3 linked regions of the Arabidopsis thaliana genome follow. The protein of the gene in region 2 interacts with the protein of the main gene of each other region in a pairwise test. Each region holds a gene or a part of one and is shown on either strand. Other genes may lie near its edges. The genes, in order: UPL6, AT1G21280 and AT4G19050.

Evidence for each region.
Region 1: the proteins of AT1G21280 (region 2) and UPL6 interact in a two-hybrid assay, tested with the Arabidopsis thaliana proteins (one large-scale study listed by BioGRID).
Region 3: the proteins of AT1G21280 (region 2) and AT4G19050 interact in a two-hybrid assay, tested with the Arabidopsis thaliana proteins (one large-scale study listed by BioGRID).

The regions. Positions count from the first base shown.
Region 1 is NC_003074.8:5,871,355-5,876,057, forward strand, and holds the start of UPL6 (ubiquitin protein ligase 6), read left to right. Parts: upstream 1-1,696; 5' UTR 1,697-2,173; coding exon 2,174-2,332; intron 2,333-2,803; coding exon 2,804-2,901; intron 2,902-2,999; coding exon 3,000-3,127; intron 3,128-3,509; coding exon 3,510-3,621; intron 3,622-3,775; coding exon 3,776-3,956; intron 3,957-4,038; coding exon 4,039-4,221; intron 4,222-4,403; coding exon 4,404-4,586; intron 4,587-4,703. UniProt on the Arabidopsis thaliana protein: Probable E3 ubiquitin-protein ligase which mediates ubiquitination and subsequent proteasomal degradation of target proteins.
Region 2 is NC_003070.9:7,446,926-7,450,089, reverse strand, and holds AT1G21280 (Copia-like polyprotein/retrotransposon), read left to right. Parts: upstream 1-1,606; 5' UTR 1,607-1,686; coding exon 1,687-2,400; 3' UTR 2,401-2,600; downstream 2,601-3,164. Other genes in the region: WAK2 (wall-associated kinase 2), read right to left, coding at 2,745-3,164.
Region 3 is NC_003075.7:10,439,381-10,445,936, reverse strand, and holds AT4G19050 (NB-ARC domain-containing disease resistance protein), read left to right. Parts: upstream 1-1,815; 5' UTR 1,816-1,899; intron 1,900-2,148; 5' UTR 2,149-2,150; coding exon 2,151-5,692; intron 5,693-5,771; coding exon 5,772-5,835; 3' UTR 5,836-5,953; downstream 5,954-6,556. Other genes in the region: AT4G19060 (P-loop containing nucleoside triphosphate hydrolases superfamily protein), read left to right, coding at 1-855; AT4G19045 (Mob1/phocein family protein), read left to right, coding at 6,149-6,171, 6,509-6,556. UniProt on the Arabidopsis thaliana protein: Potential disease resistance protein.

The sequences.
Region 1 (4,703 bases), on a different chromosome or scaffold from region 2:
ATAGTTATATCTGCTAGATAGATTTTTCTTTTCTACTAGAGATAGATTACTAGTATATGAGTTTGATTTTGTTTTTCGCGTTTGAATGTACATGTTAAAAGTGTGTCTAGAACATAAAAACCCACAAGATGATTTCAGAGTGTTCTATTGACTATAGTGGAAAAGAAAAGCTAATAATTAACCCATAATAAAAAATATATAGTTGACTAATTACAAGTGAATTGGAATTCTGTTTTCAGCCAAACTTATAATATTTTTTTAATCAAATGAAATTTATGAATTGGTTTCTTTCTTACATATTATGAAACATTAAATTCGAGTCAGCAACTTGAATTTCAAAAGTACAGCTTCTCGATCAGTCTGTCTACTCGACAGGGAATGGGTAACTTTTTTTTTAACTTACGCAATGCATGTTGTGTGTGCAGTGTGTATAACGCTAACTTATATCAACAATAAAAAAAATCCTTTTTTCCTTTTTTTTCCCCCCCCTGAAACTGTTATGCTTTCGAAATTTCACTTATCTCTCTGACGTGTTTAGTTTCATCCTAAAAGTGTATATATATATAGCTTAATGTTTCTATGTTTTCTCTTATCTTATAATATATGTATTTCTTATAATGAGCAACTCGTGATGATGTATGATATGTCTGTTTGACAGCTCTGCGGTGACGTGTTACGTAGAAGCAATTAAGCAGTTGGCGTGTGAGATCTTAGACCTCACGGCTGAAGGACTACGGCTCCCACCTCATACCTTCAGCAAGTTAATCAGAGCCGTTGATAGCGACTCAGTTCTCAGGCTTAATCACTACCCATCATCCAATCAATTCCTTAGTGGAGCCAAGGTTTCTGATATGTCTGTGTCATTACCGAGAGTTGGCTTCGGGGAACACACAGACCCTCAGATCTTGACAGTCCTTAGATCCAATAGAGTAGGGGGCCTCCAGGTGGCATTCCCTGACGGAAGGTGGGTCTCTGTCTCCCCTGACCCTTCAACCTTTTGCGTAAACGTTGGCGATCTTTTGCAGGTCAGTCCCTATATTCATTACCCATTTGATTCTGTATATGTTACTTTAAAAAAAAAAAAAGGTTTTCAGGTGCTACTTGAAAAACTTAAAATGCAGGAATCTAACTATTTAATAATACATATCAACATGTAAGAATCTACTAAGATTCTATAAATTTCCACAACTATTATAACTAAAATATTAATCGATGCAAAATTTCTAGGTGATGACGAATGGGAGATTCTTAAGCGTACGACACAGAGCGGTGACTACCGGACATGCAAGCAGGCTATCGATGGCGTACTTTGCCGGTCCATCCGTCCATGCAAAGATAGGCCCTATTCCGGGAATCATCCCGGCGGCAGAACAGCCACGGCTTTACCGGACGTTCACATGGGCTGACTACAAGAAGTTTGCTTACTCGCTAAGCCTTGGAGATAACCGTCTTGACATTTTCCGCTCATGTGTCGATGAGCATGATGAATTGGGCTTCTAGTAATATAACTGAATTGGGCTTCTAGGAATATCACTGAATTTGGGCTAAAAGGCCGAAAGAAACTTCTTGTAGTTGGTAAGGTAACTATGAATCAAAAAGTAGGACCACATTTTGTATGGGAAATTTGCAATTCAATTCTATTATTTTGGTGTCTATTATACAACTCGAATTAAACAATTCGTACATGATATTGAAAATCACCATAAAGATGAGAAACCATAACACCAGTGATGTTACAAAAAATAAAATCAACCAACCAACCAATAGACACAATTTTTTTCCCGTGTAACACGAGACGACCCAATTATTCGTCTTCCTCAAAAAGACTCGAAAACGACGTCGTATTGAATTCACCACTCACGAAGTTTCCGTCTTCGTTGTTGAGAGTCGGCTTCCGAAAACTATCTTTCTTAATTGCTTTGGTTCCTTGCCTTGCCTTGCTCCTCAGAAATTTTTGCTTCTGTTTGATTTTGTTTTTGCCCCTTTGCACACATATCATCCAAATTCGTTATCATTTTTCACCTTTGAAAGAATCTATCTCCTTGCTCTGTTATCTCCAGTTCTAGGGCATACGCCGATCACATCCCTAGCTCCTTTTGGCTCTAATAATACAGTAATCTTAGGTTTTCGGGGAGTGAATCGTGTATTGGTATTCTAGTTTTAGCTCAAGAACATGTTTTTCTCCGGCGATCCTTCGACTCGGAAGCGAGTTGATTTAGGTGGCCGGAGCACCAAGGAGAGAGATGCTCGGAAGCTTCTCGAGCAGACTAGAATGGAGCGTAATCGTCGGTTACTACAGAAGCAGCAGAACTCTGCTGCTCTCAAAATTCAGGTTTGCGATTGAAAAGCCTTTTCTTTTGGGACTCTGGGATTTTATTTGTGTTTTCTGAGCAATGTAGAACGAACACAGTGAGTCATTTTGCAAGATATGTAGAACTTTTGAGCTAAATAATGTTTACTTTTTATAGTTTTGAGGTTTAGTTGGAAATTGAACCGACATTTTCCTTTGTAGATGTTATTCTAAATCTCCATTGTCCTCGTTAGATTTAGCCTCTGGAACAAATTTATCCTGTTACGGTGTCCTGCGGTACAGGTCTTGTGGATTTTTGTTTTGAGTAGTAGTTTTTAAGATTGAACTATTGCGATTACAAAATGTGAGCTTGAGCTGCAAATGCAACACTTCAAAGTGTTTCTTTTTTTCTTCTATTATGTGGACAAGTGCATTTGTTGTGGGTAAAGGGAAAAAGTTTTTCAATCATTTATGCTCCTGATGGGCATGGTGCTGACTAGTTTTTGGCTACAGAAATTCTTTAGAGGTCGAAGATCAATGGCCATTGAGCGCTCGAAGGTGCGGCATGATTTCTGTGAAACCTATGGGAATAATTGCCAGAATGTTGATAGGTACTTTTTCTTTGGTCTATTATGTTTGCTATAGTTTTTTTTTGGTCTTTAAATGGTTCTATGGTTAATTAGTTGTATATTTTTTTGCCTACATCCAGACATTGCTTTGAGCCAGGTTCAAGTTTCCTCCGGCAGTTTCTGTTTTTTTTCAAGGCACAAAACTCGGGAGATTTTGTGATACTTGTGGAGACTTGTCGTCTACTGCAGAGTTTCGTTGACAGCAGTGGTATTTCCAATATCTATGCCTGCTTCTTTTGTTGACACTTTTGTTCAATTCATTCATGGGTTTGATCAACGTGCTTTTCCTTTCTTGGTAACTCTTATGTAAGGGGAAGCATGTTCCAAGTCTTCATTTTGCTTAATCAGTCTTTTTATGGCGTTCATACTCTTATTTATTATGTTTATCTTACGAGCAACAAACTTAAAACATTGTGTGAGTCATATCCCTTGCACCACAAATTAAAGTCTCCTGTTTGCTGTTTACATCCTCACACATATAGACTGCCTTAATATTATTTTTGCTTCACAGACAATTTTTTCTCTAGTTTCTTTTCGAAGATGACTGGGATCTTGCTTACTGATGTATTACAGTTCTCATCATATGACAGGTGACATTGTCAGCCTTTTTTCTGGCTTGGACTATTCTTCTGAGCATAATTTGGTGGATTTTAGAGTAAAGAAACTTGCATTTACCTGTATCGAGGCGATACACCAGAATAGGTAATATATATATTTTTGTCATCTCTCATTTTGTAGAGCATATCCAAGCAATAGCCCTTCTTCTTTCAAAATGTGACCAACTATTGCTATCTTGGCTTTTTCAGTTCTGTTATTAAAATATTCAGTTTTGCCTCTTTCTGATTTGAATCATCAGGAACCGTTTAAGGGATCAGCTCTTAGTTACTCCTGAAGAAGCTAGCATTTCAACAGCTATCTTGATGGAGGCAGTTTCGTTGTTGCTAGATCCTAAGCTGCCTTGGGTCTGCAAAATAGTTAGTTATCTACAAAAAAGAAAAGTATTCAAACTGGTCCGAGAAATGGTCACTACGGCTAAGGTATTTTCAGCAGTTCCCCATGATTATGCCCCACCACCTAGTTGGCAATCTAAACTTTTGAAGCAATTGTGGTTTGTTGCAGGAAAGCCCAAGAGGTAAGACTATGACCGGCAACATCCTTTCACTAGAAAGAGTATTGATACTGATAGTACCACATATTGGCCGTGAGCCATGTTGCTGCACTGTTGTTGATCCACGTTGGAGTTTCTCATCTATGATTCTTACAATACCTTTGATATGGAAGCTCTTCCCAAACTTGAAAGTGGTTGGTTCCTGAACTCATATTTTTTAGTTACGGATATACGCTAATCAAAATATATGTAAAATCGTTGAGGCTAAATGATAGCTTTTGGTTTCTTACAATTTTGTGTTTGACCCTGAGCTAAATATTATCTCAACTGTGAGCATCTATTTAAACTTTGGTAAACTCATAGTTTCATTGTCCAGGTATTTGCCAACCCGAGTCTAAGTCAACACTACATTCACCAGATGGCTTCCTGTATTCAAAAGGATACCTGTGTTCTCCCAATGGAAACAAGCCCAGAATTCCCTGGTTATGCTTGCCTACTTGGTAACACGTTGGACACTGCAAACGTGGTGTTGTCACAGCCTGAATGTTCATTGGACATGGTAGGTTCCTTATGTAGTCGATTTATTGTATTTGGGTGTGTTTGTGTTAGCTACTGTGGTTGGTATCTTAGTGCATGTTTACTTAATTTTTTCCTTTTCTCGACAGTGAATTTCACT
Region 2 (3,164 bases):
AAAGAGTTTGACTATGTGAAAATGAAAGTCATGCACAAGAAGATTCCTCCGTCTGTTTACCAAGCTTATGAGATGGTTGTGTATTCAGAAGCGATGATGAAGTGGAAAATGGGAGGAAGAATTTAGGAATTTGCAGGTCCGTGATTTTAACTTTTTATGCTTTTATAGTGTTTCTTTTTGAAGTGTTTTCGTGTTTTTTGAATCCATATTGGTACATTATCAATGTCATATGGAATTAGATTCGTCAACTGAAATTTTGCATAAGAGCTCTAAATTTGGTTATTTGACTACTGGTTAGTATAACAACTATAGATGATGCACAAAATATTCTCTCAATACATAATTTGATGAGGCAATTACAAAGAAGTAGGATTCATGTTTTACAAACAAAAGACATGTGTGAATTTGTCAGAGCTCCGATGTCCAATATTCTTGATGCTGTCATAACTACGGCTACTGGTATCTCCCTGTGTTGATAATATTCGAACACCGAGCAAGTGTTCAATCTCCCTTGTCTCAGGATACTGATTATGTTTTAATTGTTTTGACTTTCAAGGTCTCTAACTCTGCAGCTACTTCGTTCATCCTTGGCCTTTCCTGTACCCTCAATCGCAAACTTCATATTCTCCTTCTCTTTTTCTCTCTAAATTGGTTTCTCTCATCTCTCCAAAGCATCTGCTTCTTAAATATAAGAAAACACACTCCATTCTTGAGATGTTCTCTTGACTTGGTTCCGTTGACTTGTCCCCACTTTCTCCTACATTAAGGTCCTTAAAGAAAAACACATTACAAAGAGGCAATAGTTTCAACATGTTCGGGTGAGATAGAGACGCAGATATCGTGTATGAGTCATTGAGTCCACATCGGCGACAAAACTCTTTCTCGTCTGCAATTCCATGGAGCCTAACTCTTCTGATGTCTTTTTTCCTACATTGTACTAGAAAATGAAGAAGGGTTGAAGAATGGGTGGGAGAGATTTTGGGGCAAAAATGATTTCACCAGCCTTGTTGGTGCCAGGAGAAGTCATATTGACCAAAGGGAAAGGAAGCTCAAATGTTTGCTTGGACCAACATGTTTCTTGACATTCTCTAGTATCCACAAATCAAAACTAGAGAAGCTTAAAGGGTTTCTAGCAATGGAAGCTAACTTCCCTTTGTATTCTATCAATATTGATTCACACTCCCGAACCAAAACATCCCTAGGCACTTTGATAAAACTTAGCCTCTCATATCTAACATGAAAACACACAATCACCATTCACCGGATCCATTCTTAGTCTAGGGGCCCAAGCACCATAATAGATGGAACCATAGATGCAAAGTCCCTTGGTTACACGGTAATAAGGAGCTTTGGTAAACTGATTACGTGTTTTTGATGTTTCTTGTCCTCCAAAACCAAGATACAGGTCATGTGAAGACACCAGGTTCAACGCTTTGATTAATGACCAACAAGATCATATCCCAATGATGCGCGGGGTCCTTTAATGGGTAAGGTAATCCCTGAAACTTTGGGCTAGGGAGGGGAAATACAAGGCCCATTAAGCCCAACTGTTTACAAAAAATTGCGACTTTTCTTATTTTGGAAAATTATTTCTTTATTTGAGACTAAAAAAGTCAAAATCGAAAGGGATACAAAGCAAGCCCTAGGATTTGGAAGCAGAGAGAGACTCTCAGAGCAGCGACGACAATGGCGGAAACTATCAAGAGCGTATCTCCAACATCAGACCCCGATTCACCGTATTATCTCCCTCCCGATATTCATCATCCCTCCGATTTCTCTATCCAAAAACTCAGCAAAGACGAAGACAACTACGTCGCCTGGAAAATTCGATTTCGCTCTTTCCTCCGAGTCACGAAAAAATTCGGGTTTATCGACGGTACTCTCCCGAAGCCAGACCCTTTCTCTCCGCTCTATCAGCCATGGGAACAATGCAACGCAATGGTTATGTATTGGCTGATGAATTCGATGACCGATAAGCTTCTAGAATCTGTTATGTACGCGGAGACTGCTCATAAAATGTGGGAAGATCTCAGACGTGTATTCGTTCCTTGTGTTGATTTGAAGATTTATCAGCTTCGTCGGAGACTCGCGACGCTCAGGCAAGGTGGTGACTCTGTTGAGGAGTATTTTGGGAAATTGAGTAAAGTTTGGATGGAGTTGTCGGAGTATGCTCCTATACCGGAGTGTAAATGCGGTGGTTGCAATTGCGAGTGTACTAAACGAGCTGAAGAGGCGAGAGAGAAGGAGCAGCGTTACGAGTTTTTGATGGGGTTGAAGTTGAACCAAGGCTTCGAGGCTGTGACGACAAAAATCATGTTCCAGAAACCTCCTCCGTCACTTCACGAAGCTTTCGCTATGGTCAAAGATGCAGAATCGATGATGAAGTGGTACAGTAGATGAAGAATTTAGGAAGCAGGTTTATGATCATAACTTTTCTCTTCTTTGCCTATGTTTTTTTTTGGGATTCTAGTGTTTCTTATTGAGATGTGTTTGAAGCTATATCTGTATATTATCAATCTCATATGGAATTAGATTTTTATGAACTAAAATTTAACACAAGAGTTTTAAATTTGCCAATAACCAGATCGGTTACTGGTTAGTATACCAAGTAAAGGAAAATATGAACATGATTATTGATGATGTACAAACAAATCTGTCAAAGCATTATTGATGAAGCAACAAGGAAATGACTTTCTTTTTTTACAAACAAAAGATATACATGTGATTTTGTCAGAGCATTAATATCAACGGCCAGCTTCAATGTCCAATGTTGTTACATTTCTGATGCTGTCATAGCCAATGCTGCTACTGGTTTCGCCTTGTGCTGACAAGATTTGAACGCCGAGCAAGTGTTCAATCTCCCCTGTCTCACGATACTGATCCGACCACTTATATTTAGTTGTTTTAACTCTCAAGGCCTCTAACTCTGCAGCTACTTCTTTCATCCTTGGCCTTTCCTCTCCCATTAGCCTTGTACACTCTGCAGCAATTCTTGCAGCTTCCTGGATCTCTCTCTGGTTATCCTCATTCATCACTTGCCCATCAATAATTTCATGGAACCTATTATTCTTTGTGGCAGAAGCAAAACAACTCACAAGATTTTTTGGGCAATGTGGTCTTTCGAAACACAATGCCTTTTGACCTGAGAGCAGTTCCATTAGGAC
Region 3 (6,556 bases), on a different chromosome or scaffold from region 2:
TTCTTGAAGAACTTCTTGCTGAAGCAAAAGGAATCCGAAGAGTTCAAGACTCTAGCAATTGTGGGGAAATACGGAGTTGGGAAAACGACATTGTGTCAGGCTGTGTTCAACGACGAAGATGTTAAGCAAGTTTATTTCCCGAGGATATGGGTTTCTATGTACAGCAAAGAAACAAAAGAAGACGAAGATCCCAAGATAGATGTTGTGAAGAGGATCTTGAGATCCCTTGGAGTTGAAGATGAGATGTTTAAACACATCAAAACAGAAGCAGAAGAAGAGAAGAGTATCAAAGATGAAGCTGGGGAAAGAGAGGAAGAGACGGTCAAAGAAAAGGAGCTTGCTCGATTATTGTATGCTCTTCACTTGAATCTGATTGGGAAGAAGTATCTGATAGTGTTGGATGATGTTTGGGAAGACAACGAGTGGGATCAAAGGCTCGATGATGAGAAGAAGCAACAGGAAAAATCACATCTTTCTTGTGGGTTTCCTAAAGGGTTTGGTGGGAAAGTGATTATGACTAGCAGAGACGAGAGATTGGCGAAGGCGATAGTCGGAGAAGAAGAGAATCTGCAGCGTTTGTTTCCAAGATCCGATGCAGAGAGCTTGTGGGAGATTTACATTGATGCAGTACCCACCAAGGTGGACGATGCAGCAGCCACGAATTTGGGCGATGCAGTAGCCACAAATGCGGGCGATGCAGTAGCCCCGAAAGTGAATCCGAGGTATCCGGGAAGATACAAACAAGAGCTTATGGATAAGTCTTGTGGTATTCCTTTGGCTGCTCGAATGCTGGCGAAGATTGAGCCTGTGAAAGTGGATGAAATTGGAAACATAGATAGGAAGCAGAGCTTCTAACTTCTAACGCAATATCTATGTATTTACTATTTACTCTCTGATATAAGGAAGCTATTCAAGATTACTATATAAAGTTATTTTATTGTTCTAGAAACTGTTAAGAGTTGTCACTTGTGTGAGTGTAAACCTATGGCAGTTAATAAAGATTAAAAAGAGATTTTAATACATATTTTTATCATCTTAGAGTTTCACGATTTTCTTGAGATTGATCCTCGTAGCTTGTTGATGATGATTTGTGGATTAAAAACCACGACATAGCGTATTGCGGAAGTGCTGCTTGAACTACCGATTTGACAGAGGACCTCTTGGATAATTTTCATTTCTAAGCTTTTAGACACTTTACTTATACATATCTAAAACTACTAGTTATTTTGGAAATTTGGAAAAATGATAATGGTATTTTTTTACTATCACGTGTGAAAATTCCTCTTAAAGAATACTGATCTTTCAAAGTACTTCAATTTTGAAAGAAGTAATGAAACAGTATTAGAATATTAATTTCCTTTCAGCTTAAGAGAAGTGGCAGATTCTCCCTAGAAATATGTTAAGTTAAACATCTGTACCCTCACTTTTGTAAAACCTGTATCACATATCACCAAACATAAGTAGAACAAAGGATCATCAAAAGACAAAAAAACTAGAGCAATACATGTGATTAGCATGTAACTTTTTCCTTTGTATGTAATAAGGAAAGAAAAGTTTTTGCTTGTGTAGTAAACAATTCCAAAAGTCATATATTCGAAAAATATAGGGGCATAATTGTTACTCTGAATTCTGAAATAATAAGGGTGAATAATTATTGGAAGAATCTAATATTTATACTTGGCGTTTTTGTTTCGACAGAGTGTAATCTAAAACTTGAATTTTGTTATTGTTGTTTTACAAAATCAGGATAGGCTTGACATGGAAGTTATCGGAGCTGGACTTGTATAAATAAGTGAATCAATCAACGAAGGATAACAAAACAAAACATAAACAAAAACTAGAAAGAAAAAACTATCAGTGGAGAAAACTAATCTGATTAAGTCACTCTAAACAATTAAGGTTCTTCTCATACCTCTCTCTTTGTTTCGAATTTTAAATTTTAGTTTTGTATTGTTAGTTGATATTTGTCATATATTGCATGGATATATAGGGGTAGTGTGGTATACTCTCTGAATACATCTCTTAAGTTCATAAAAATAAAGTTACTATCCTAGTAGCAATCTCAATAATTTTGTTTAACAATGATCTCTTCAAGAAAACTCAAATCAAAGGTTTAAATATTTCCTCTCTCATTTTTTATTTTCCTAGAGATGGAGAAGCAAGATCAAACAAGCAGAGAAGAGATTCTGAAGAAGATAATGGATTCATTGGGACAAGACGGTGTACCTTCAAAAACCGTCCTCGTTGGTGAAGCTGGTATAGGGAAGACATGGCTTGCAAAAGAAGTCAGCCAACGTGTTACTCAAGAAAAGTACAATGTCCTCTGGTTACACCTGAACAAAAAGATTGAAGACGAGAAGTCGCTTTACGAGATTCTAGCTGCTCAGTTGTCGATAATTTACGAGTTTGAAGAAGGCGAAGAACCTGATGAGCTTGATTATCCATTGGAGAGCTTGAAAGAGAAGATTAAAGAAGAGATGATCAAACACAAGAAGGATAATCTTCTGTTGATTTTGGATGATGAAGGAAGTATGACAACTGAAGAAGATGTGATGCAAGAATTAAACCTCCAAGATTTTCTTAAGGAGTACTCGGCTGTGAAGATTCTAGTCACAAGAAGAGATGAAAGAGAGGAGAAAGAATCCACAACGATCAAAGTCGGTCCGCTTACAGAAAAGGAGTCATTGGACTTACTCCACGATGCCGAGGACTTACTTACATCATTTACCTCTGAAGATTGGCCTGTTCTGCTAAAGAGACTTTGCGATAACAAAGAGATCAAAGAACCTACTTTGATGTCTTGCATTTTAAGCAAGAGCAAGGGCTTACCAGCTGCGATCGTTGTCTTAATCAAGTCTTTAAACAGCATTAAGTCGATGTCTGCGAAGCAGAGGAAGATCTTTAAAGAACTGATTCTATCTTCCAAGTCATTAGATGAAGCAGCTGCTTCCAAGAACGCTATAGATCGCAGCCGCTACAATCCTGTCTTGCAATTAAGCTACGAGCTGTTAAAGCCTGACGAGACGGTCAAACGTCCGGTGATTGCTTGCTTTTGGCATATCTTGGACTTCTACAAGTACTCTGGATGCGCTTACTACCGTGACCTAATAGTGCATTGGATGCTTGAAGGGTATTTTGATCCGGTTAAGTCAGTTGACAAAGCTTACCAAGAAGGACATTCCATTTTAATGGACTTTATGAACAGAGGAATCTTGAAAATACAAGAAGACAACATGGTGGTTCCAGAGTTCTCCATGAGCAACCTATTAGATCTTCAAGATTGTGGATTCTTTGGAAGATCTTCTCTTGGATTTGACAGAGTTTACGGTGGAGACAAGAGAAAGGGGCTAGGGAAAATCATCTTGATCGATGATATGATACAGACAATTCAATCGAAGAAGAAGAATATCACGACGATTATCGCTAGCGGAAACCGTTTACGTAGAGAGGTTCATGGGAAGTTCTTTGAGAAACCAGAGATGCAAGATCTTGAAGTTGTAGTCCTCTTTGAGCCAACGTTCCATGAACTTGTTCTGTCTTTATCTAAGCTAAAGAAACTCCGAGTACTTGTTATCAGAGACTGTGATCTAATCGATAACATCGATAAGCTCAGTGGTCTTCAAGGCCTACATGTTCTTGAAGTCTCTGGTGCTAGCTCTCTAGTTAACATCCCTGATGATTTCTTCAAGAACATGACTCAGCTTCAAAGCCTTAATCTTTCGGGACTTGCAATCAAATCTTCGCCTTCCACAATCGAAAAGCTAAGCATGCTTCGTTGCTTCATCCTAAGGCACTGCTCTGAGCTACAAGATCTGCCTAACTTCATTGTGGAAACAAGAAAACTTGAAGTTATTGACATTCACGGAGCTAGGAAACTTGAGTCTTACTTTGATAGAGTTAAAGATTGGAAGGACTATAAAGGCAAGAACAAGAACTTTGCTCAGCTTCAGCTGCTTGAACACCTAGACTTCTCAGAGACTAAAATCATCCGTCTGCCGATATTTCATCTCAAAGACTCTACTAACGATTTCAGTACTATGCCAATCTTGACCCGGCTCTTGCTGAGAAACTGTACAAGGCTTAAGAGATTGCCACAGCTTAGGCCTTTGACTAATCTTCAGATTCTTGATGCATGTGGTGCTACAGACTTAGTGGAGATGCTTGAAGTGTGTTTAGAGGAGAAGAAAGAGCTTAGGATCCTCGATATGTCAAAGACAAGTCTTCCCGAGTTAGCCGACACGATTGCTGATGTTGTCAATCTCAATAAGCTTCTGTTAAGGAATTGCTCACTGATTGAAGAGCTTCCAAGCATTGAGAAACTGACACACCTTGAAGTTTTCGACGTTTCTGGTTGCATTAAGTTGAAGAATATCAATGGATCCTTTGGGGAGATGTCTTACCTCCATGAAGTGAATCTTTCAGAAACTAATCTTAGTGAGTTACCTGACAAAATCTCAGAGCTATCTAACCTTAAGGAGCTCATCATAAGAAAATGTTCCAAGCTAAAGACTCTTCCAAACCTTGAGAAGCTAACAAATCTTGAGATCTTCGATGTTTCGGGCTGCACCGAGTTGGAAACAATCGAGGGATCATTCGAGAATCTGTCTTGCCTCCACAAAGTGAATCTTTCGGAAACTAATCTTGGTGAGTTACCTAACAAAATCTCAGAGCTATCTAACCTCAAAGAGCTCATCCTAAGAAACTGTTCTAAGCTAAAGGCTCTTCCAAATCTTGAGAAGCTAACACATCTAGTGATCTTCGATGTTTCGGGATGCACCAATCTGGATAAAATCGAGGAATCATTCGAGAGTATGTCTTACCTTTGCGAGGTTAATCTCTCTGGGACTAATCTGAAAACGTTTCCTGAGTTGCCAAAACAGAGCATCCTCTGTTCTTCAAAACGTATTGTTCTCGCGGATTCGAGTTGTATAGAGCGAGACCAGTGGAGCCAAATAAAAGAGTGTTTAACAAGTAAGTCAGAGGGCTCTAGCTTCTCTAATGTAGGGGAAAAAACCCGCGAGAAACTTCTTTATCACGGCAATAGATACAGAGTTATTGATCCTGAAGTTCCTTTGAATATCGATATTGTTGACATCAAAAGATCCACTGATCTTAAAACAGAGTATATAGCCAAAGCAGAGTATGTCTCTATAGCAGAGAATGGATCCAAAAGCGTATCTTCTCTCTTCGACGAGTTGCAGATGGCATCGGTAAAAGGTTGTTGGGTAGAGAGGTGCAAGAACATGGATGTTCTCTTCGAATCAGATGAACAACTAGAGAAAGAGAAATCATCATCACCATCATTGCAGACTCTTTGGATCTCAAATCTTCCATTGCTAACAAGCTTATACAGTAGTAAAGGAGGATTCATTTTCAAGAACCTTAAGAAGCTAAGCGTAGATTGTTGTCCAAGCATCAAATGGCTATTCCCGGAGATTCCTGATAACCTTGAGATTCTTCGTGTGAAGTTCTGTGATAAGTTGGAGAGATTGTTTGAAGTAAAAGCAGGAGAATTATCGAAGCTTCGTAAGCTTCACCTTCTTGATTTGCCTGTTTTATCAGTACTTGGAGCTAATTTCCCGAATCTGGAGAAATGCACAATTGAGAAATGTCCGAAATTGAAAGCTAGAGAAGATGAACCGAGGATTGGAGCAAGGATTACAGATGAAATTTCAGAGGATCAACCTCACAAGTAAGTGAAGTTAACAACTAAACAAATCGAAACTTTATTTTGTTTTCACACTCTCTGTTCTGTTCTTCTTCATGTGCAGGAATACTATTGGGCCTGAAACCCAAACTCCTACCCAGCCCACAAAAGCTACAGACACAGTTTAATCTCTCTGTTCTTCTTCACACGACGAGGATGAAGAAACAAAATTTCCGCTGATCTTATATTATCTCACCGTTAATAATTATCCAAGTCTTGAACTTTGACAGAGCTTGTAATTCGAAACTTTTCAAAATGGTTACTTTGTGTTGTGTTGTGTGAACTCTTAAAATAAAGAATAAATGAATGTTATTTTATTTTTAGTCGTCTTCAAGTTTTGGTCTGCGATCGTGAAATTTACGCAGAGAGAGATCAGAATCGAAGAAAACATTGCAATATAAAAGAGTCACCTTCGAGTTCGTGTCTCACTCCGATAAAGCAATGAGTCTATTCGGGCTTGGAAGGTGAATTACTGATTCCTCTCCGTAATTTGTCCGAAAAAAGAGAGTATTTTTTCTAGAGATTTCGAGATTGTTTGTTATCTCAGATCTTTCGAATAGTTATTCCTGATTGGGTATTAATATTTCAATATGTTGATTTTTGTGGATTTGCTGAGTAATGGTTGTGAATGAAGATTTGATTGTTCAATTTTTCTATTATTCAGAACTTGATGGAACCAATGTTAACTTACTACCATTGTCAATGTGTCCTGAATGATTCTTGTCAAAATCTTGTTCAAGTTAATGTAGAATTTGCTTATCTGATTCTATGAATTTGCATTGTTTATGTTCATCTGATTAGAAATCAAAAGACTTTCCGTCCTAAGAAGAGCGCACCATCAGGAACCAA